Macaca mulatta: one gene and its partner. The protein of the gene in region 1 interacts with the protein of each later gene in a biochemical or structural test. Links are inferred from orthologs where the notes say so. Each region holds a gene or a part of one and is shown on either strand. Other genes may lie near its edges.

What was found.
Region 2: of the proteins of CARD9 (region 1) and TRIM62, one has a biochemical effect on the other in vitro, tested with the Homo sapiens proteins (4 studies listed by BioGRID, with this or other methods). The link is inferred for Macaca mulatta from reciprocal best matches to the Homo sapiens genes CARD9 and TRIM62.

Annotation. Positions count from the first base shown.
Region 1 is NC_133420.1:6,141,202-6,152,433, reverse strand, and holds the end of CARD9 (caspase recruitment domain-containing protein 9), read right to left. Parts: coding exon 11,219-11,232; intron 11,135-11,218; coding exon 10,991-11,134; intron 10,765-10,990; coding exon 10,639-10,764; intron 8,262-10,638; coding exon 8,070-8,261; intron 7,704-8,069; coding exon 7,662-7,703; intron 7,263-7,661; coding exon 7,217-7,262; intron 5,700-7,216; coding exon 5,623-5,699; intron 5,483-5,622; coding exon of another isoform or gene 5,333-5,482; exon of another isoform or gene 5,230-5,332; intron 5,026-5,229; coding exon 4,949-5,025; intron 4,865-4,948; coding exon 4,768-4,864; 3' UTR 4,416-4,767; downstream 1-4,415. Other genes in the region: DNLZ (DNL-type zinc finger protein), read right to left, coding at 364-386, 2,629-2,750, 3,551-3,690, 3,963-4,184. UniProt on the Homo sapiens protein: Adapter protein that plays a key role in innate immune response against fungi by forming signaling complexes downstream of C-type lectin receptors.
Region 2 is NC_133406.1:207,675,795-207,687,670, forward strand, and holds the start of TRIM62 (E3 ubiquitin-protein ligase TRIM62), read left to right. Parts: upstream 1-4,070; 5' UTR 4,071-4,691; coding exon 4,692-5,099; intron 5,100-11,876. UniProt on the Homo sapiens protein: E3 ubiquitin ligase that plays a role in antifungal immunity by mediating 'Lys-27'-linked ubiquitination of CARD9 downstream of C-type lectin receptors; leading to CARD9 activation, followed by activation of NF-kappa-B and MAP kinase p38 pathways.

The DNA of each region.
Region 1 (11,232 bases):
GCCCGGACACAGGGTCTCCAGGACGTAGCGCCCCCCCTGCATACTTGAATGTATGTGCGTATTTATTGCTCACATGTGTGTGCCATGTTGTCAGTGGGTCCTTTCCAACCCAAGAGGTACATTTGTTTTTCTGTTTTTTCCTGAAAAATAAAGTCGGCCAAGTGAGTGTGGTCCGTATGGCCTTAGTCCCGGGGGTGACCCAGGTAAGAGGCTGCACCGTGCGTGCAGAGTGTCCACAGATACCCACGGTCTGGGCCCTCTGAGACCTCAGAAAGATGGAGTTCCCACTGCATTTAACCACAGGGGAGCCGGGGCACAGAGGGGTGAAGTGGCTGCCTGCTGTCACCACTGACTCCTGCACCGCTACCTCCTCACGCTGCCAGCCCCTAGGGAAACAGAGCATGCTCTGAGCTGACACTCGAGTGGCCGAGGCCAGCCCCCGAAGCAGCAACCCCCAGGTCAGCCCCACGGCCCCTTGAGGACCCAGCCTGCTGCCATTCACCCTGCAGCCAGTGGGGGGAGGTCCTTTCCTGGAGTCTGATCCGGCTGGGCTCGGGGTCTGGACACTGAGCCACAGTACAGGAGCTGGGGGCAGATCGGCAGTTTTGGGGCTTGTCTGGGCGCTGCTTGTGGTGGGCAGCACCCCCACGGGGCCCCTGTCGGGGGACACACAGCTGCGCCGGGCAATTCGGCTGCCCCTCGCCACAGCCCATCTGCCCACGTTGGCAGCCACAGCCTCTGTGCTGGTTGACTCCGTTGCCGCCTCCACCTCAGAAGGGGCCTTGGGAACCAGAATCAATGTGTACTCCAGGTCCGGGGTCCCGGCCGGCTTGCGGGTGGCGGTACATGCACACAGGGTCCAAGTAACCGTGCAGGGCCTGGGACGGATCACAGCCAGGGAGGTGCAGCAGTGCCCCCCACGCCGATGGCTGACGCATGGGACAGCCTCCGAAGGTGCGGCTGAGGAGTCCTCTTAGAGAGGCACACGGTGGTGAGGGATGCCCAGGCCAGCAGCCGTCCCCAGGAGGCAGGGATGTCCTGGAGGCAGGGGGGGCAGAGTGCTGGGAGATCAGGATGGCAAAGCCCCTTGCAGAAACCTGGCTGTGGCAGTGAGGCTGGGGGGAGGGAAGGGCGGAGGAAGACAGGGTCCAGGGGGACCTCAGGCAGAAGCTGGTGGGATGTGTCGGGCACGCTGGGGGTGGCCATAGGTCTTCTCTACTCTAGGAACGTGCCAGCCTTGGGAAGGGTGTCCCTCCAGGGCCAACCTGGGCCCAGAGGTGCTGGCACCAGAGAAAAAAGACACGGTAACATCCACAACCCAACTACTGGCCTCCATCTCCCCAACTGTAAGAGGAGGGATTGGCCCGAGCAACTCTCCTCGCTCGAATCCTGCACTTCCAGGTCCGACGGCTCCCTGGACCTCCCCACGTGCTGGTCCAGGCCCTCTGGAGGCAGTGAGGCACCCAAGCCAAGCCCAGCCCACTGGCCTCTGCACTTCCAGGCCCCCAAGAGACCCCCAGTCAGTGCCTCCATGGAGAAGCAGGCCTGGGTGCGGGTGGCTCAGCGAGAGGAGGACAGTTTCCACAAATGGCACAGAAGGTTCTGGGTGGGAATAATAGAGGGTTGTTGGCTGAGAGGACGGGTAATCGAGTCAAAGCCCACACCACAAGCGCGCTGGGAACAATGCCACCAGGTCGCGGCCTCCCACGGGCCGGATGTGAGCTGGCAGTCCCGGCCGGGTCCTGCTGGCAGGGGCTGCACTGGGTCCCTGTCGTGCTCAGTTCTGCCTCCACCTCCCACCTCGCCCCATTCTCTTTCCTGCCAGAGTGTGGTGGGTGATTAATGCTGAAGGTCACACTGCCCAGAACGCTTCTGCAAATAAACAGGCTCCTGCGTGTGCTCGCTTTCATCAGCACAGGAGCATCCTGTGCACAAACAAGGCTGGGAGACAAACCCCACGTGCCTCGGAGGGCCCGGGGCATCCAGAGCGCCATCCACCAAGGGGAGGAGGCCCAGATGGCTCCCCCGGGAAGGGCCTGGAGCTCCCGACACGTGGCCACACCATAGCTGCTCGTCCTGCCTGGGCCAGCAAGCAGCCCGGTTTGCTCAGTGTCACCGACAGCCAGCGGCCGAGGGCCAGGGCTCAGGTCTGCACTGGCTCACGGAAGGGAGGCCGCCAGAGCTGGCCAGCGGGATGGCAAGGGGCTTGCAGAGGAAGGCTGAGGCTCACAGGGGTGGTGACCTGCTCAAAGTCACGCAGTGACAAACAAGAGGGGCTCTGACTCCACATCCAGCCCCCTTTCCAGGAGACTGTGGCCCCTGTGGGCAAGTCCAAGGCGACTCCGTGTAGGAGGAACTGGTGAGGCGAGAGGTCCTGCGGCTCCAGTGTCCCACCCAGCAGCACCAGGGATTCAGAGCAGTCATTCTAACTCCAGAAAAAGAAATGCCACCAGGGCCACCGGCCCCAGCATCCGGAAGTAATGTCTGTTTATTGATAGAAAACAGGCCATGTCCAGAGAGGCCCAGGGCCAAAACATCCTTCTGGAAGGCAGAAGTCCCACAGTGCTGGGGAGCACAGGGGTCAGCTCGGCTCCGTCTTGCCACGGCCGGGGGGACCCTCATCCTCACCTGCTTCTGGAGCAGCAGTAGATGTGGGGGTCCCTGCAGCCTCTAGAACAAACTCCAGGGCCCCCTCGCCCACCACACGGTGCACCTGCTCGCCTCTGGCCGCCAGGATCTCTTCGATATTTCTGGGAGGCAGGGAGGCAACAAGGTTCTTCAGGGCCCCTGCTCACCCTGCACTTCAGTCCCCTCAGGGTGCCCCATGGCCAGGCCAGAGCTGCAAGCACCAGGACCAGCACTCCTGTGGCATCAGGCCACGTGGGCACTTCAGATGCTGGCCTGTGTGCCCTCACCAACCCTGTCTCTCTGCCAGTATGTGCCACCTCAGGAACCCAGTCCTGCTCCTGCCCCCTATGCGCCAGAGGGAAGAGTCTGCAGCCCCAGGTCGGATGGGAGGACAGCCCCAGCTCCAAGGCCCAGGTACCACCAAGTGCCCAGCATGCTGGTCTCAGACCTGCTGTCACTGTTACTGTCCTGCTCAGGACCTCCCGGCCAGGCAAAGCCCGGACCAGGTTCCCAACACCACCTCCACTGCTCTCCCAGCGGCCAGAGCCCAGGCCACACCGCCTGGCCCACACTCCACACTTTGCCGTGGGCCAGCCACTCCGAGACGGCAGAGGGCAAAAAAGTACCACGCCAGAGAGACAAGACTGGCAGTGAGGGCAGAGGGCAGGTAGAGGCAGGGAGGCAGGGCCACAGGGCTGGCAAGATTTAGCAAATGAAAACACAACCCCTACTTCCGGCATACTTAAACTAAACAGCTATCTGGGGGTTATAGGAAATTCTAATTTAACTGTGTATCTTGTATTGATAAGGTGGCTGGATTGCCGAGGTGAGATCTATAGACCTCCACACTAGGGCACGGTTCCCCCAGGGAGGCCAGGGTTCTGGGTGGACTCCTGGCCCAGCCCTGGGGTACAGGCCTCACCTCTTCCCATTCAGGTCCGAGAACCAACCCAGGTTGTCCGCGATGATGTGGTGGTTCTGGCAGCCGGGGCAGGTCACAATGACCACGCCTTGGTGATAGGCCAGCTTGGAGATGCGCTTGGAGGACCTAGTCCCGCAGACCTGTCTGGGACAGGGCAGCTGGTGAGGCTGTGAGCGCCGCCACGCCCCTCCCGGGAAGGCCCCGCCCCCGAAACGGCTCCACTCCTCCTCATGGTCCGCCTCCCCTCCTTCCCAGAAGGCCCTACACCCACCTCGCCCCAAGTTGTGGCTCCACCCCTTCCTCTGACTTGACCCCGCCCCCTGCAGGAAGGCCCTGGCGGGCCGCCTCTCCCCGCAGGCTGTGTAGCGCCAGGTGCGGGTCTGTCCCCGATTCCGTGCCGCCGCGTGCCCACCTTGCAGGTGTAGACGAGCTGGTAGTGCGCAGCCTCCACGCGCCCCAGAGCCGCCGCGGGCCCCGGCTCGGAGCTTGAGCGCCGCCAGCCCCAGGCCCAGGCGCGCCGCCTCCCCGCGACCTCTGGACGGGCCCCGCGGCCCCACAGCCGCCTCACGCAGGGCCCTCGGGGCTGCACGCGGCTCAGCAGCCTCGGCGCGCCGCCCAGCACCGCCCGCAGCATCCCGCTCGCCAGCTCCGTCAGCCCCGCCCTGCCGCCATCTTGGAAGTGGGCACCAGGCGGAAGCGGCCTTCCTGGGCTTCCGTCCTCCGGGTTGGGGTCGCGCTGCGCTCTGCCGCCCCCTGGCGGCCTGATGGGGCCCTGCGTCCACGTGCAGCTCGCTGCCGGAGGACACCGAGGCCCCGCAGCGAGGAGGGACGGCCGCGGGGCTGCGCGCGAGTGTCCGAGCGGGAATGCGGGTCACCCGTGCTGTTTATTTATTTAAGCTGCCGTGTTTTCTCACACTTCTACAATGAATGCATGTATTGTGTGTTACATGGTGAAATAGAACAGACCCTGACGTTACACAGATGGCGTGTGCATGGGGGTGGCGAGCACCCGCATGGCCTCCTCAAGCTGAGTGCCGCTTAACAAACAGCCCCCAACGCCAGGCTGCCCGGCTCAGCCTTTCAGGGCACCAGATTCCTCCTTCCAGGCTAAGCCAGCGACGGCTCGGGGGAAGTCTGCGCCCCAGGGCGTCGGCACCCCCAGGTGGCGGGAGGCCGGGCCAGTGGGTGTGCCCTGGACGGGGCCTGCGCTGCTGCGGCTAGGAGCCCTCAGTGTCCGTGTTGTCGCTGCCGGTGGTCTCCTGGTCCGCCTCCCCCTGCCGCCAGCCTTTCTGCATCTTCCTAAGGGCGCGCTTCCTGCGAAGACACAGGTGTCTCAAGCGCAGACCCGGCTGCAGCTCCCCAGCCCGTTTTGGAGAAGCCTGGGGGCCGCCCGCCTACCTGCGGTAGTTCTCGAAACTCTCCTTAAGGCGCCGCCGCTCCTTCTCAGGCGGCTCCCCGCTGCTCAGGCCTGCGTCCTGGAGAAGGGGAAAGGCTTGGGCTCCGGCCGGCTCCCCTGAGGGCACCCTCCCTTCTCTCTCGCACCCCCACTGGCCCCGGTAACTGCAGACTGGTGGGGAGGCGGGGAGCTCAGACAGCCTCAGCTCAGCGCCAAGCTCGCCGCGCTTGGGACCTGCCTGTACCCGGGGAGTGAGCCGATGTGGGTAGCCTGCATTTCAGATGCCAAGACACAGGCAGGAGGCCAAGCCACGCTCCGGCCTGGGCTCCTGGCCATTGTTTCTACAACAAAGCCCGAGGTAGTCCTTGCTCTCAGGACTCCTGTGTTCACCTACTCAGGGTTGACTCCGCATCCACTGTAAAGTCCCCCAAGAAACCAGGACCAGGCACGTCCACCTCCAAGCCCCCCGAAGCTGCTGCAGTACCCAAGAAAACAGGGGGATCCACTTCGCGCCCCAGACAACCGCACCCCAAGCACTGAGGGCAGAGACCTTGTGGTCACCCCTCAGCGTCGTCGGGGCCACTGCAGGGGGTGCCTAGGGCGAGGAGCCACCCTCCCTGGGATCGGCCACCGTGAGGCCCACAGCTGGGGGGACCCCACCCTGAGGAAGCCTTACATGGGGGGTCCGTGAAAGCTGTTCCTGGTGCAGAGCTGCAAAGGGCTGTTCCGGGCTCCCCGCACCGGCCAGGCATCCTGGAAAGGAGAGTCGTGCCTGTGGGGACTGCCCACCTGCAGGGCCACGTACAGCAAGGGTGCCCCACCCCTCCCCGGCATTGCGGACACCTTGTGGGCCTGGTGGGATCCCCACATGGGTCCAGTGTAGACTCTGCCTTCTGTAGAGGAGACTGAGGCCTTATGGCCTCCCTTGCCCATTCATTGCTCCAGGATGCCGCCAGATGCCAGCCCAGGCCCAACGCTCCTGCCAGTGACCATCCCTCCCCGAGGCTGGCTGCCCCCCAGGCAGGAAGGCCTCCCAGACCTCAGGGGAGCTTAAACCCTGGCCTGAGCAGCACTGTCCCCCATCACTCCAAAGCATCTGTGGGCATGGCGGCCCTGGGGAGAGAGTTGGAAACAGCTACAGTGGCGGGGGCAGGGGTACTGCACAATTGGGAGAGAACCTTCAGGTGGCTAGACCCCCTCAGAACCCGCCAGGACCTGGGCAGACCAAGGGTCAGGACCCTTGGGCAGAAACCATGCATGTCCAGTCTCAGCCCCGCTGTGGGGAAGGCCAGGCCAGGGCTGTCCTGGCCATTGGCAACCCCTCCTTAGAGCCAGCCCCTCCCCTGCTCACCCTCGGACCTTCATGCCTGCCCCCACTCCTGCCACAGCCACCCAGGGAGATGGTGGCAGTGCCTGAGCTGGACTCCTGGGTCTGCTCGCCTCTGTGCCTACATGGGGGCTTGGCGTCCCCAAGTTGAAGTGTTCTGGGCTGCGGCCAAAGGTGCTGGTCTTCACTTCCCCATCTGCGGCTCCTCCTTCCCCTTCCGCCTCTGCTTGGAGGCCACAGCCTGGTGCTCGGGAAGCTCGTCCAACTCCCACGCAGCCTCCCAGGGTCCCTCTGCTGGGTCCTCCCCGACTCCCACCTGACACCACCTTCAGAGCAAACACCTACCTCATCACCACTATCCGCTCCTGGGCACTCGGGGGCTGCTCCCAGCCAGCCACTCCAGTTCTTCCCCCAGAGAGGCACAGGGGGCCTGCCCTGCCCGCTAGAAGCCCCCACCACTGCCTTACCCCCACTGCACCGGGACACAGCAGGCCCTTGGCCACCCCTGCATTCGGCCCTGTCCCTCAAGCCACGTGGGGCCCCGTCTTGCCCCACTTTCTAGCTTTGTACCCCTGGGCATTTGCTCATCACCACCTCCCTCTGCTCATCTCTGCACCCCGGGGGGCTGCCCAGAGGGGCCCCACACTCTCAGGACAGTGGGCCTGCTCACCTCTGCACCCCGGGGGGCTGCCCAGAGGGGCCCCACACTCTCCACCCCAGGGGACACTTGTCCCACCAGCTGGGCCCCGGGTTCCACTGGGCTCTGTAGTTTGTTCTCTGGGTGACCTTGGCCATTTTACTTATCCCCAGCCCTAGTTTCCGTCTGTGGGGTGGGGGTTGTGGGGGCTGAGACAGGCATTGCGGCACAGGCTGCCTGTGCTGAAGATGGGCCTCGCTTGGGGCAGCCGGGAGGCCTCCAGGTGCACTGCCGTCCCCACCTTACCTTTGTCCGAGAGCTGGGTGTCCTCCAGGTCCTGGGGGAGCGAGAGCTTCCGAAGAGAGGCAAGATGTCCCGTTAGGTCACCCCGCCAAGGACTGGACCCGGCCACACTGCCCACCCCAGCCCTTGGCCCTCAGCTGGGTGCGGCCGTTGCCATCACCCCCTGCACAGAGCTTTTCAGAGACTCAGGTGCTCAGCAGACGGATGTGGGGGAGGCCAGCCAGGAAGGTCCCGCCATGAGGATGCAGGAGCTGGGCACTGTCCATGCCTTGCCTTACCCCTTGAGCTGTCGGAGGCCTTAGTATTTGGCCACCTGCTCTTCCTCCACCGAGCCCAGCCCACTGAGCAGGGCCACGTGACGGGCAGTGTGGGGCTGTGCCTGGTGGCGGCTCAGCCAGGACCCCAGGTGAAGGAAGGCCAGCCTCGTGCCGGCTGGGGTCTCACTCACCTCCTGGGAGCTCCTGGGTGAGCCATCCTCCAGGTCGGAGCTCTGTGGTCATAGAAAACGGGGTGGGTGGGCTGTGGGGGCAGAGGGCTCCCCAGGCACAGGGTGGGCAGGGCACAGAGCGGGATCCTCCAGGGAGCCCTGGGCATGCCCTTAGCCACGCCAGGCCCCCTCCATGCCCAGAGCAACGTGCTAGGCTGCCTGATGGCCAGGCCCAGCACCCACCCTGGCCCTGCAGCCCCATTTCCTGCTGGGGCCCTGAGCTGCTCCTGTGCCCTCACCCCACTGCGAGGGGGGGTTCGGTTAGGTGGGGGCCCGTCACAGAGGAGGGTTGGGTCAGGAAGGCCCATGTTCCCCCGGCCCTGCGTCCCACCCGCTGGCTCCCGTCCCTGCCCCAGGCCCCAGGCCCACCAGCACGAGCGTCTCCAGCTGCTGCCGCCTGAGCCTGCCCTCCACGGCCAGTAGCTGCGCCTCACGCTGGAACACCTGCAGCTGCAGCTCATCTGCCTTCTCACCCAGCTCCCGCACCTGCTTGCGCAGTGCGTCCTTCTCCTGCAGGCCCCGGGCATGCTGCAGGTGCAGCTCCTCCCGTGTGGCGATGGCCTGATGGGACAGTGCAAGGCCGACCCTCAGTGAGGCCCCCAAGCTCGCCCTGGGCCCTCGGCCTGGCTGCCCAGCTCCGAGCAGAGGCCCCGGAGGACGTCAAGCCGCTGGGTGTGGAGGCTGGCCACAGCCCCTCCCTTTATGTGCTCTGTGAACATGAAGTCAGCATCTGAGGGACTGTAAAGGTGACAGTTGTCCCTGCTGCCCTTCTGTCTCCTCCCAAGCCTGCACCCCCGGTGGACACAGCGTGTGCTGTGCACCGGCCCCCCCAACACACACACACGTGCACATTTGATAAATTTTGGATGTGGCTTGATATGGGGACCCTGACTGTCCATGGCTAAAACTCCTTCATGAGCGCAGCACTCTTCACCACCCCTGTCCCCACTGCAGATGCTGAGGTAGGTACAGGAGCGAACGTGCAAACATGACGGCGTGACCACCCCTGCAGCCAAGGCTGGGAGGCCCTCACCTAACCCCTGCCACTGGACTGGAGCAACGGCTGGCAGCTTCCCTAATCCCTGGCCAACCTGCTCCCGCACAGCCCCGTGGGAGCCCTCGCCCTGGGAGCCACACCAACCCCCATGGGGGCACGACTGGATCTGCCCTTTTTTCCCCATCTTGGGGTGGGCCAGGCGCGAGTGAGGCTGTGGTGGGGCCGCGCAGGAGTTCTGAGCCTGTGCTGCTCTCATGGTGGCCAGGGCTTGCTTTATGGCCCCAGGGGTCTCGTTTTAAGGCTCCTGATGTGGACAAACTGCCATCCAGAATTTCGCCGAAGAAGCAGTGGTGTCCATTGGAGACAACCTCCAGGATGGGACTCGGGACGGGGCATAGGAAGCAGACACAGCCCTGCCCCGTGACGCTCTATCCGGCTCACAGCATGTAGCACTCGAGGCCTTGCAGGCCTCACTCCGGTGGCCCAGGCTGGAGTGCAGTAGCGCAATGGTGACTTGCTGTAGCCTCAGCCTCCTAAATAGCTGGGACCACAGGCATGTACCACCACGCCAATTTTTTTTTTTTTTTTTGAGTTGGAGTCTTGCTCTGTCACCCAGGCTAGAGTGCAGTAGTGTGATCTCAGCTCACTGCAACCTCTGCCTCCTGGGTTCAAGCGATTCTCCTGCCTCAGCCTCCTGAGTAGCTGGGACTACAGGTGCCCGCCGCTACACCCGGCTAATTTTTATATTCTTAGTAGAGACGGGGTTTCACCATACTGGCCAGGCTGGTCTTGATCTCGTGACCTCAAGTGTTCCACCTGCCTCGCCCTTCTAGAGTGCTGGGATTACAGGCATGAGCCACCATGCCCGGCCAATTTTTGTATTTTTTATGGAGTTGGGATCTCACCATGTTGCCCAGGCTGCTCTGGAACTCCTGGGCTCAAGTGATCTGCCCGCCTCAGCCTCCCAAAGTGCTGGGATTACAGGCAAGAGCCACTGCGTCCAGCCAAGTTTTTTTTCAAGATTAAAAAAAGCTACTGGTGCCGGGCGCGGTGGCTCAAGCCTGTAATCCCAGCACTTTGGGAGGCCGAGATGGGTGGATCACGAGGTCAGGAGATTGAGACCATCCTGGCTAACCCGGTGAAATCCCGTCTCTACTAAAAAATACAAAAAACTAGCCGGGCGAGGTGGCGGGCGCCTGTAGTCCCAGCAAAAGTAGTCCCAGCTACTCGGGAGGCTGAGGCAGGAGAATGGCGGGAACCCGGGAGGCAGAGCTTACAGTGAGCTGAGATCCGGCCACTGCACTCCAGTCTGGGTGACAGAGCGAGACTCCGTCTCAAAAAAAAAAAAAAAAAAAGCTACTGGTAAAACAAGACAGAATGTTTTCATAAAATCAAAAAGATATATAGATAGATAAGTGATAGATAATAGATAGATGATAGGTGGATGGATGATAGATGATTGATTGATAGATGATTGATTGATAGATGGATGATAGATGATAGAATGATAGATAGATGATAGATGATTGATAGATAAATAGATAGATGATAGATAGATGGATGGATGGATAGATGGATGACAGGTAAAAGTCTGTAAGGTGGAGCCAGAAGGTGGAACACGGTTTTCCCTGAGAGCAGGCTGGGGCGGGGAAGTATTGACTTCATCACTGTTTACTTTTTTTTAATGTTAAATATTACTTCTGTCATTTAAAAAGCAGGCCAGGTGTGGCAGCTCAGCCTGCAACTCCAGCGCTCTGGGAGGCTGGGGCCGGAGGACTGCTTGAGGCCAGTAGTTTGAGGCCACCCTGGGTGACACAGCAAGACCCCATCTCAAAAACAAATAGCAAAGATTAAAAACTCCGTGACAACTGCCCTCAAGGGGTGTGGCCCTGTGCACCCACCCGTGAGTGGGGTGCTTTGCCCGCCCCGTGAGGTGCCCACCTGGTCCCGTTCAATGGCAACCTCCTCCATCTGCAGCAGGATGGCCTCAATGCGGTCCTTGTACATCTTGGAGTCTTTACGCAGGGCCAGGCACTGCAGCTCGAACATCTCCTTCTCCTCCATGCACTGCAAGGGGCAGCAGCTCAGCCCCCACAGGCCTGAGGCCCCCCATTCTGGCCCGTGGGGTGTACTCGGGGAAGGGGCTCAGGAGCATGTGGTCAGGCCAGTTGGGATGTGGGGGGAGGCCATAGGAGTCCCCAGGCCCCACCTTCCAGGCACGGAGTGGGCGGAGCTCAGCCCACCCAGCGTGGCTTGGCCCCCAGGAGCTGCGTCGCCCTGCCTGCCCTCCTACCCGGAGGCGTCGGGCCTCGCCCTGGCGGAGGTCCTTGCGCAGGGAGAAGATGGTGTTGGCCTGCTCCTGGTGGTCCCGCAGTGCCTGCCGCCAGTCCTCTTCCAGTACCTGGATGTAGGGGCTGCTCCTGTCCAGCTTCCCCTCCTGAAGGGGGCAAAAGGCAATGGCCTGGCTGGGAAGGCCCCGGCTGTCCTGCCCGGGCTGCACCCGCCCTGCCTGCGGCCCCACCTGGACGGAGGCCT
Region 2 (11,876 bases), on another chromosome or scaffold:
GTCCAAGTCTGTGGGTGTCTATGTGTCTATGTGTATTTGGGTCTTTCTTTTCTTTTTTTCACTCAACAATAGCTCTGGGACAGCTTTCCAGAAAAAAAAATTCCTGATGTTAATTTCTGGAGTATGAATGGAAGCAGATGGCATACACTGCAGTCAGGATCTCTAAGTCTTAGTTCAGACCATTCAACCACATCAGATGTGGGAAGAGCAATCAATGACTTGCCAAATGTAAAGAAAATCAACAGTTTTAGTGTTCTGCATCTTAATGGAGATGGAATAAGGTCAAGAGAATAAGTGCTCAGAGAATAAAAGGACGGAACACTGGAAAGTAAAGTGAAAGATAAAGAGACTGGGCTGGGTGCGATGGCTCACACCTATAATCCCAGCACTCTGGGAGGCCAAGGCGGGCAGATCACTTGAGGTCAGGAGTTTGAGACCAGCCTGGCCAACATGGTGAAACCCCATCTTTACTAAAAAAACAAAAATTAAGGCCGGGCGCGGTGGCTCAAGCCTGTAATCCCAGCACTTTGGGAGGCCGAGACGGGCGGATCACGAGGTCAGGAGATCGAGACCATCCTGGCTAACACAGTGAAACCCCGTCTCTACTAAAAAATACAAAAAACTAGCCGGGCGAGGTGGCGGGCGCCTGTAGTCCCAGCTACTCGGGAGGCTGAGGCAGGAGAATGGCGTGAACCCAGGAGGCGGAGCTTGCAGTGAGCTGAGATCCGGCCACTGCACTCCAGCCTGGGCGACAGAGCGAGATTCCGCCTCAAAAAAAATAAAATTAAATTAAATTAAAATTAAAATTAAAATAAAAAAATTAGCTGGGCATGGTGGCAGGCACCTGTAATCCCAGCTACTCGGGAGGCTGAAGCACGAGAATCGCTTGAGCCTGGCAGGTGGAGGTTGCAGTGAGCCAAGATTGCGCCACTTTTCTCCAGCCTGGGCTTCAGAGCTCTATCTCAAAAGAAAAAAAAAGAGACTGACTTTCGGCCAGAGAAAGCCATATTCTATGTCCTTTGGAGGAGATTAGAGCTACATATTAAGACTATGTACCGAAAGGATTTAGACAATAGAGTAAAATAGTACCAGAGCCTCTTCTAAAGACAGCTGCAAAATTGGCTGGGCACAGTGGCTCATGCCTGTAATCCCAGCACTTTGGGAGGCAGAGGCAGTGGGATGACCTGAGGTCAGGAGTTTGAGACCAGCCTGACCAATATGGTGAAATCCTGTCTCTACTAAAAATACAAAAATTAGCCAGGCATGGTGGTGTGCGCCTGTAGTCCCAGCTACTAGGGAGGCTGAGACAGGAGAATCACTTGGACCTGGGAGGCAGAGGTTGCAGTGAGCTGAGATCACGCCACTGTGCTTCAGCCAGGGTGACAGAGCGAGACTCCGTCTCAAATAAATAAATAATAAAAGCAGCTGCAAAATAGTATGGAGAAAGCTGGGCTGCTGCAACAAAAGACCCAAAATACAATGGCTCTTGGAAAATAAGTTTACTTCTCACACTCTAGTCCATGTCAGGGTGGCTGTACTTCATGCAGTCATTCAGGAACCCAGGATCCTCCCATATCTTTGCTCCATCAGCCCTTTTGAAGCATTATTGAAGCTGGTACATCTGTGTTCCAACTCAAGAGAAGAGGAAATGGACTATGGAAGAGCAAAAGTCTCATGCCTTACGGTCTATTTTTATTTGTGTTCTATTAGAAAGACCTTAGTCACCAAGTCTCACTCGGCTGCAAGAAGAGCTGGGATGTATGGTCTCTAGTGGACCAGCCATTCCTCTGACTGCTACTCTATTATATAGAAGAATAGCAGGATGCATTTTAGTGGACAGCTAGCAATTTCCATCACATCTCCTTTATTTGAGGCTTGGTATCTTCCTCTATAAAATGGAGATAATAATATAAACTAGTTAAGGCTGCTTTGGGACTCAAATCCAATAATATATGTGAGAATGCTTAGCAAGCCATACTGTGCCAGATAAGAATTTCACATTGATTTTGCCCTCTAGACCACCAGTTCCTTGGGAACAAGGAGCATAGTTTATTCCATCCCCTCACAAAGACCTGCTCGGAGTCAGCATCAGTAAAGACATGTTGAATAATGAAGTCACTGTTTCATCCATCATCAAGTCTTTTTTTTTTTCATTTCATTTCAAATGCTTCAATAATTTAGACTCTGCCCTGTTCACCTTCCCCACCCACTCATTAGGGGTGCACATCAGTGTAGCAGTTGGGATTCTCTGGGTTGCAAAGTGACAATGCACTACTGTTAAACTGGCTTATGCAATAAGATGGACCATCTCACATATCCTGAAGTCCAGACTCTGAATCAGAATAAAAGTTTCTCTTCCCTAGGACTCTCTTGGCCTTGCCCTCCGTTCTCTACCTGCTGTATCCTCAGACTGGGAGCAAGATGGCTACAGCAATTCCAAGCATTGCCACCAAACACATCCCAGCAAAGGGGGCAGACGATTTTGAAAAGTAAAGAGACCCTTTCCTGAATTCCCCTCTTTGCCATAGGCTTCCCCTTTAGTTTTTCAGGCTGGACCTGCCCAAACCATCACTGGCAGGAGGAATGAGACCACCATAATGGACTTGGACCAAACAAGACTCACTCCTGGAAATGGGCTGGGGTCAGCCTTCCTTTGGTCACATGGGGAAGGGGCCACCTGAACAAAATCAGGGCTCTGCCTATAAGAAAAAGTCGAGTAATTGCTGTTGCATGAACCAACTATTTTTCTGGCAATGATGGAGATTCTGGGCCAGATGAGGGTGTGATGGAGAAAGTGTCTAGAGAACTAAACTGAGAGCTTTTTCATCAACTGTACCTCAATAAAGTTTAACACCAATGAAGATATTTCTGGAGGAGGCAGAAACTGGTAGCCACTCTCAATGCCTCATTTCCCTCACCCCCGTATCCAGCCATCACCAAATGTCACCGTGTGTGTACCTGCAATACTCTAGCCTTCTCTCCTTACCCACTGTTGGGGCCCCAGTTCGGGTCTTGCCTCCTGCAGGCACGATGACAACAGCACCTCAGGGGTGCCCAGTCTTTCCTTCTCCTGCAACCCGTGGCGTTGATGCGGTTATTCAGCTACACACCTTTACTGTGTGCTGAGTGCTGTGCATGCACAGACACATCGGAAAAGCTCCCTGTCTTCTTCACCTTGCAGATGGTATCATGAATATCTCCGAGACTTCCTGAAACCCAATCGGACCAGGTCATTCCCTTGCCTGAAAGCCCGATGCCTTCAAGAAATGCTTTACCATGACCCAAAATGCCCTCCAGCCCACCCAGGCCCCTTCTCCACCCCACCCCCGACGGTACAGAATTACTTGCACTTCCTTCACTTCGCTCTCCCCTTTCACGCCTCTATGCTTTTGCACAGGCTGTCTCCTCTGCCTAGAAATCCCTTATCCCCTCTCCATCTGGCACACAAGACAAATTTTCCTATTACTTTTCCTCCCTCTCTCCTGCACCACCCCTCACCCCTTACACACACACACACACACACACACACACACAGCACTCCAGAATTGTTTGCCAATGGAGCAGCCTCCGGGGCCAGATGTTAGCCAGGGCTTTCCAAACTTCTCCCCAAGCACTCCTTAAGAAAGTGAAGAGGAAATGGAACCCCAGGGCTTAGGAGTGTGAGGTCCTTGAACTTGCTCTAAGCAAGCGGGGCATTTCAAGAGTTTTATCTTTATATTTTATGCAGAAATTGTATTCCAAACATATTCTTGTTCATTTTAATACAAAATATGATTTTTTTCTACATCTTCAAATCAATGATCCAGAAAGATGCTCCTTGTTTATTTGTCGTGCTCTCAAATTAGCTGCTGTCCCTGCTCCGCCTCGCCGCGGGGACCCTAAGCGAGACCTGGATGCAGTTCCAAGTACACACCCCAAGGAACAGCTGGGGAGCTGGAGGATGGTGGGGGCGGGGCGGAGGTCAACTGGCTGGCGGCCCCTCCCCTCCCCCGCCCGCTGCGGGGGCGGAGTTGCTTGGGTCCCGCCTACGGGGGCGGGGAGGTAGCCGCGGCCACCGGCAGCTCAGATTCGGCTGGTTCCGGGTTGAGAGGCTGCGCTGGACCGAAGCGGTGGCTGCTAAGCCCGCGGGGGTAAGGGTCCGCGCTGGGCCAGGGTTTGGGGCCGGGATCCGGCAGCTGAGCGGGCCGGCACCCCTCCTCTTCTCTGCCGGTCACAGCCAATGTACGGCTCGGCCTGGCTGCCCCCTCCCCCAGGATTCCCCATCCCTAGCTTCTCGCCCTCCCCCCAAAGCCCCCACCCCGGGATTTCGACCCCTTCAAGGGATCCACCCCTCTCCGGGATCCCCTTCTCCCAGCTCCTATCCCTTAGGACTGCCCCGCCCCCTAGAACCTCCCCGCCAAGATCTCCGTCCCTCAGCCGCTCACGGCCTCCTCCCAGCGTCCATTGACTTGAGCTCCCCACTACCTCTAGACCGCACTCCCGGGCTGGCGTCCCAGGGAGTCTCAGCCGCGCACCCCTTCCTCGCGTTACCCTCCTTCCGGACAGCACCCCCTCCCTTCTCCAGTAGCTCCTACCCCTGCCTGTGCGGGCCTCGTCCCCGCGCCCAGCCCTCGGTGCTGCCTCCAACAGCGCCGCACTCTCTCAGCCGCCCCCCTGCCCCTCGGGCCCCCCTCTCTGCCGCCCCCGGCGCCATGGCGTGCAGCCTCAAGGACGAGCTGCTGTGCTCCATCTGCCTGAGCATCTACCAGGACCCGGTGAGCCTGGGCTGCGAGCACTACTTCTGCCGCCGCTGCATCACCGAGCACTGGGTGCGGCAGGAGGCGCAGGGCGCCCGCGACTGCCCCGAGTGCCGCCGCACGTTCGCCGAGCCCGCGCTGGCGCCCAGCCTCAAGCTGGCCAACATCGTGGAGCGCTACAGCGCCTTCCCGCTGGACGCCATCCTCAATGCGCGCCGCGCCGCGCGACCCTGCCAGGCGCACGACAAGGTCAAGCTCTTCTGCCTCACGGACCGCGCGCTGCTCTGCTTCTTCTGCGACGAACCCGCGCTGCACGAGCAGCACCAGGTCACCGGCATCGACGACGCCTTCGAGGAGCTGCAGGTGCGCTGCTCGGCCGGCCTGGGGCAGGGGCGGGGCCGGGCTGGAGGTGGGGTCGGGCCGGGGGTGGGGTCAGGGCTGGACTGCGGGCCAGACCCAGTCAGAATGGCCCCGGGGCGGGGCCGCCGGCAGGGTCAGGGCCCTATCAGGAGTAACACGGAGCAGGGAGGGGCGGGGCCGCCGCGGGGCGGGGCCGTGGGGGCGGGGCCTTGGGCAGTCCGTACCGGGCGGGATCTGAGACAGACCTGGAGTAGGGGCTGGTCCGTGGTTAGGAAGTCGAGGACGCGGATGGGACGGCGGAAACGAGTGACATCAGAACTGGACCAGATACTGGGCTGGGGCAGGGTTGTGAACGAAGTGGAATCAGAGCTGGGGAAAGGCAGGGCCGCTGTCAGACTGAGGGCGAGGCCGCGAAGATGGGTCTGTACTAAATCGGGTAGCTGAGCTCTGGCAGGCTGGGGGTTCTGTGGGGCCGGAGACTGGATCAGATGTGCATCAGGACTAAGGGGAGTACAGGGGCTAGAATGTGCTGGACAGGTGAGGGTGAAACTCAATAGAGGGGTATAAGATAGGGTGCCAAACTGCTTGAGAGGGCAGGTTTGAGTGCCGAGGGTTAGACCAAGACGTATGAGGGGTTAAAACTGAGATCAGCTCCAGATACTCTACAACAAGTTTAGATTTAAGCCAGAGTAGAGGCCAGATTGAGTGGGGCCAGGACTTGAAAAGTAAAGATTTGGAGAATAAGGCCCAGATGTACGGTGATTCAAGAAGGGAGGGTCTAGACCCTAGACTCTAGGAGTCTCTATGGGTTTTTGATGACCTCTTTGGCTCTGTCCCCCACATCAGGACCTCTGAAGACTAAGCGAAATGGTACATGCAGAGGGACCTGAGCATAGTTGGCAAAGAACTCTAATCGGTTCCCCTTAAGACTTCCTGTCTTCACTGACAAACTCCTACTCAACTTTTAAGGGAAGAACCCTGGTTTCTTCCAATGTCCTCTCTGTGAAGGCTTCTCCAAGCTCCACTGGTTAAAAAAATAAAAAATAAAAAATAAAAAGCATTAGAACTGCATTTCCCCAAATGCTCTCTATTAATAAGTATGGGAAATGTAGTATATTTTTTATACCCACCCCCTTGGAGAATTTTCAGTATGCATTTGCATATTAAAAGCTTAGAGAAGTCTTGTTGCAAATAAATCTATTTTACTGTGTTTAATAAAATGGTTCCCAAGCTTATTTGGGCCTGGAATTCTTTTTTCAAGCTAAATCACTGAAATCCGGCAGTCCCATGTTCCTGGCTTTGGGATACTAGTGGAGCACATAGTTCTCCAAGGCCAGAGACAGTATCTTGTTTCTCCTATCCATGGCCACAAAGCCTGGTGCAAGACCTGGTCCACAGTACACACCAAGAAAGACCAAATGAATGAATGAAAGAATGACCAACGCTGGCGTAAGCTGGACCAGACTATGGAGCATTTGGAAGCAGAAAGTTTTTGGCTCAAACATTTTATGAAAATGGAGCGGGCTAACTTGGGAGGTAATGAGCTCTCTGGCCTCGAGATACTCAAACAGAAACTAAATAACTACTTTCCCCTGTATTGTATGGGCTCCCAATCCCTTCACACACCAGTCTTTGAGTAGGCCTGCACCCAGCAGATGCCCATGGGCCTCAGGAGAAATGGCCCATGTTCACCATCGCCCCCTCCCTGTCCCTTTTATCTCGAAACTACAACTGACTCCCTTCCAGTCTAGCTGTCTGAGGATGAAGACCCCATCAGAGGGTGAGCAAGAGCCTGGGCCTCTGGGAGCCTGCACAAGGCTTGGCCCTCCACCCCCAGAGCCATCATGCTAGGCGCTGCTGCTGTCCATCTCCTTGTCTGCGGAGTCACATAAGCAGGAAGAGTTTGAAGGGACTCTGTCTGAAACCATCTGTCCAACCTCTTCATCATGTAGGAGTGGAAAGTGAGGCCTGTAAAAGTGATGTGACTTGCCCAAGGCTACACTTCCAGACAGTGAGAGAGCCAGGGCTAGAGGGCACAGCCTGACCCAGATCCCTCTTCTCTGATCTCTCCCCTCCCTGTCTGACTTTCTAGCCTCTGCTTCAGAGGCTTGGTTCTCCTGTCTGCAAACCAGGGAATCCAGATTACTGTATGTTGGGCTTCTGTACTCTATCCCATGACCTGGGGGACACAGGAGAAATTGAACATGTATTACCTACAAATACTATTGAAATGCTTCATTATTGGGTGAAAAGTAAAACAGGAGTGCCGCTTGCTTACTCTCTAGCACACTGTCCTGGGGTTGGACACACTTGAGTTCCAAACCTGCCGTGGGCACTGTGTGCCCCTTGATGAGTCACTCCATGTAAACGCTGATGCTCTGTCTGTACAATGGGGTCCAGATGCCTCCTTCCTACCAGGACTTTTGTGAGGCTGACCTGGGATTACCCTGCTATTTGAGGTTCAAAGGCACACAGTACGGGCTGGAATAACATATAGCCCACCTTTTCTCTTTCTACCTGTGAGAGCTCATGTGCCCAGCTGAGTGAATGCCCAGACTCTCCTCTCTGGCCCAAGAAGGAGGCCTTGCTTTGGTGTGTCCTCCGGGCTTGGCAATTGGGTGGCAGAGAAATCTGCCTCCCCTCTGGAGAGGATGTGCTGCTGGGTGAGATTCAAGGCACCCTCCACCCCCACCTGCCTCTCCCTCCATATGGGGAAGGCTTATTAGCTATTTATGCAGCAGAAATAAGGCTGAACCCACCCTCACATCCCCTTCTCTCCCAGCAGCTGATGGAGCTGGGGCCCTTCTCCTGCAGAATTACAGACTCAGAGCCGGCAGGGTCATGCAGATCATCTGGTGCCACGCCCACTTGACAGATGGGGAAACAAGAGAGGGAGAGGGAGGAAGGGGACTTGCCCAAGGCCTCGAAGCCAGAGGAGGCTGGGCCTGTACTCAGCCAGAGTCTCCTAACACTCTACCTAGCAGTTGGCCTGGAGCTTTTACATTTATTGTAAATCCTTGAGGCATCAGAGCAGAGAAATTAAGAGCCCTGCTTTGTACTCAGGTAATCTCAATCCTGGCTCCACCATTTACTGTGTGACTTTGGTAAGATTATTTACCATCTCTGAGCCTTGGGTCCTTCATGGATAGCATGGAAGTAATTATATTAGGATTAAACAAGATGATGTTTATAAAAGCTTAGTACCTAACAGCACTCAATAAATGACAGCTATAGTAGGTTACATCGTCCTTGGCACTGTTGACATTTGGGGCTAGATAACTGTTGTGCAGGGCCATCTTGTGTGTTATAGGAAGTCTGGCAGCATCCCTGGTCTCTACCCACTAGATGCCAGTAGCAAATTCCACCCACCTCCCAAGTTGTGACAATCAAAACCATCTCCAAGCATTGACAAATGTCTCCTAGAGTCAAAATCACCTCTAGTTGAGAAACCTGACCTAGAGAAGTCCTACTCAACTTTAAAACTTCAGGTCAAATATCACCTCCTCTGTGAAGCCTTCCCTGACCTACTAAGCACAATTGCTTTGTACTCCAGATTCCATCACAGGGGTCAGACCTGACATGCTGTGTGTCCTTGGTCACGTTACTTTGCTTCTCTAAGGCTCCTTCCCTAAGGTTCATCTATAACATAAGGATATGACATTCCTGGGAAGGATGTTGTAAGGGTTAGGAATCCTTTATCAGAAGTGCCTAGTACCGTGCCTGGCACAGTAGGTACCCCGAAACTATTTTTAAATATCTTTGTTCATTATAAAATTAACATAAGAAGCAGAGCTATATAATGTAAAAGTCCCCCCCATAATCATACCCCATGAAACATGGCAGGAATTACTATATAGTTCTAAGGATTTTTGTGTAACCTGTGTGTGTGTATGCGTGCATGCATGTGTGTATGCATGTGTGTACATGTGTGCACGTGTGTGTGCATATGCGTGTGTGTGCGTGTGTGTGTGTGTGTTGGCGTCTTCCTCCCCACCTCCACTGCTGAGTACCTGGACCACTGAGCAAAGTGGAGGGAGGGAGCCCATTTCCAAAGAGTTCAGGGCTTCTCAGCCAATATTCATTGAGCCCAGTCTGAATGCCTGGGACTGCACTAAGAGCTTTTCTTGCATTACCTCATTTAATCTTCATAGCACCCTGTGGGATGGGTACTGTTATCTATTTCTTTTACCGATGAAGTAACAAACTCAGAGGAATTAAGTGACTCATTTGGTCACCCAGCTGGTAAATGGCAGGGCCAGGATTTGAAGCCAATCTGACTAGGCCACATATCATCCCTGAGCTGCCTCTGAGGGTTGGGTAATTGTCTCCCAGCCACCCTGCTTGTCCTGTATTGACAGGGCCAGGCCATCTGTCCCAGCTGACGCCCCGAGGGCAGGTGGTTGGGACGTCATCTTGGTCAGACCAGGCGTGGCATCCGGCTCTCTGGCCATCTCAGGTTCCTAACCCCCAGAGAGGGCATCCAATTCAGTCTCAGCCGCCCCCTCCAAGCCTCATGTGACCGTTGGAGCCCTTCCCAAGGCTTCCTTCATGCCAGAGAAGACAGCAGTGGATCAGCCTTGGGCGCAAGCCCTGGCAGGCAGGGTATGGTGATCCAGTGACACCAAGACAGCCACCCAAGGAGGGAGTGGGGCTGGGGGCTAGGTTCAAATCCCGGCTCTGGTTTCTTCCAGGAGAGGGGGTGACACTCTTTTACCCAATCTGAGAAATGGAAGTAAGAACTAGCCCTCCTGCTTTATGTGGAAAGAGAGAGAAAGAGTTGCTAAATATCCAAAGAAATGACAGATTCAGAGGTACTTTATTTTGTAGCATAGAAAGGAAGGCAGCTGGGTTGTCTGTGTTCTGGGGAAGTGGCTCTGCTGTTACTTTTCCAAGGAGAGGGCAGGATTTCTCTGCCAACAGCAGCCTCTGTGAGGGCAAAGCTGGCTGGGCATGGTGGCATATGCCTGTATTCCCGGCTACTCAGCACAAAGTAAGTTATGGGGCACTTACTGTGGGCCAGGGGCTTTCTTATGGGCATTTGATCCTCACAAGGATTTTTTTCTTTCCCTACTCCCTGAGTGGGACTGAGATCAGTACCATCTCACAGATGAAGAAACTGAGACTGAGAGATTCAGTAACTTTCCCAAGATCACACTGCAAGTAGGAGGAAGAGCTGAGATTCAAACTGGTCTTTCTGACTCAGAATTCACCCTCCTTCCCAACATGCCAACTGTCCCAGGGAGCACCCAAATGGGGAGGAACCTGAGAAACCATCAAAGAGTTGACACTCTCCCCATTTTGCAGATGGGGAAACTGGCTTGCCCAGGGTTAGACCAGAGCTCAGCTCTCCTGACTGTCAGTCCAGTGTTGTTTCCTCAGTACCATTTACCTTCCTAACCTCCATCTTTGCTTGAACACTCAGAGTGGATGAGGAAGATTTGGAGGTGAGTTCTGTCTTGGATTCAGGGATTCACTTAATAATTTCTGGGCTGGGCGCAGTGGCCCACGCCTGTAATCCCAGCACTTTGGGAGGCCAAGGCAGGTGGATCACCTGAGTTTAAGATCAGCCTGGCCAACATGATGAAACCCCCATCTCTACTAAAAATACAAAAAAAAAAATTAGCTGGGCATGGTGGCATATGCCTGTATTCCCAGCTACTTGGGAGGCTGAGGCACAAGAATCACTTGAACCCGGGAGGCAGGGGTTGCCGTGAGCCGAGATCGTGCCACTACACTCCAGCCTGGGTGACAGAGCAAGACTCCATCTCAAAAAAAAATACATATACATATGTGTGTGCATATATATGTGTGTGTATATATATACACGTGTATATATATACATATATGTATATATACACACATATATACATGTATATATATACACACACACACATACACATAATTTCTTTAGCCAGTATATATGCCATGGCTACAGCGGGCCAGCCCTGTGTTGGGCCCAGGAGAGAGCTACACAAGACCTGGCCCTGTGTGGCCCCGAGAGATAGGCCCATGAACTGGTAGGTTGCTGTAACTGAGGCTTGCTCTGTTGAGCTGAATCCTAAAAGATGTGCTGAGTGCTTCAGGCCAGGGAGCAGAAAGAAAGATGTTATGGACAGAGGGAATAAAAACATGCACAGCCTGGTGCAGAGCATTCCAGGGATCGGATTCAAGGCTTTGACAAGCAGGCCCACGCCCCTTCTCTCTCCCTCCCCCAGCCTACCTCTCATTTAATTCTAACAGTAACCCTATGAGATGGATCTCATGCCCCATTTTACAAATGGAGAAACTGAGGCTCAGAAACGGTGCCTGGCTGGGCACAGTAGCTCACACCTGTAATTCCAGTACTTTGAGAGGTCAAGGCAGGAGGATTGCTTGAGTCCAGAAGTTCGAGACCAACCTGGGCAACAAGGCAAAACCCTATCTCTACAAAAAATGCAAAAAAATTAGCCGGGCATGGTTTCATGCACCTGTAGTCCCAGCTGTTCTGGAGGCTGAGGTGGGAGGATCGCCTGAGCCCAGGAGGTTGAAGCTGCAGTGAGCTGTGATCATGCCACTGCACTCCAGCCAGCCTGGGTGACAGAGTGAGACCCTGTCTCAAAAAAAAAAAAAAAAGGAAAAACAGAAACTGTGCCTAAGGGCCTGGAAAGAGAGAAAGGAGAAGAAGTGGGAGGAAGAAAGGAGGGTAAAGAATATAAATGTATTTACTGCCTCTGAATTGTATACTTAAAAATGGTTAAATGATAAGTTATATATGTATATTTTACCTCAATAATTTTTTTT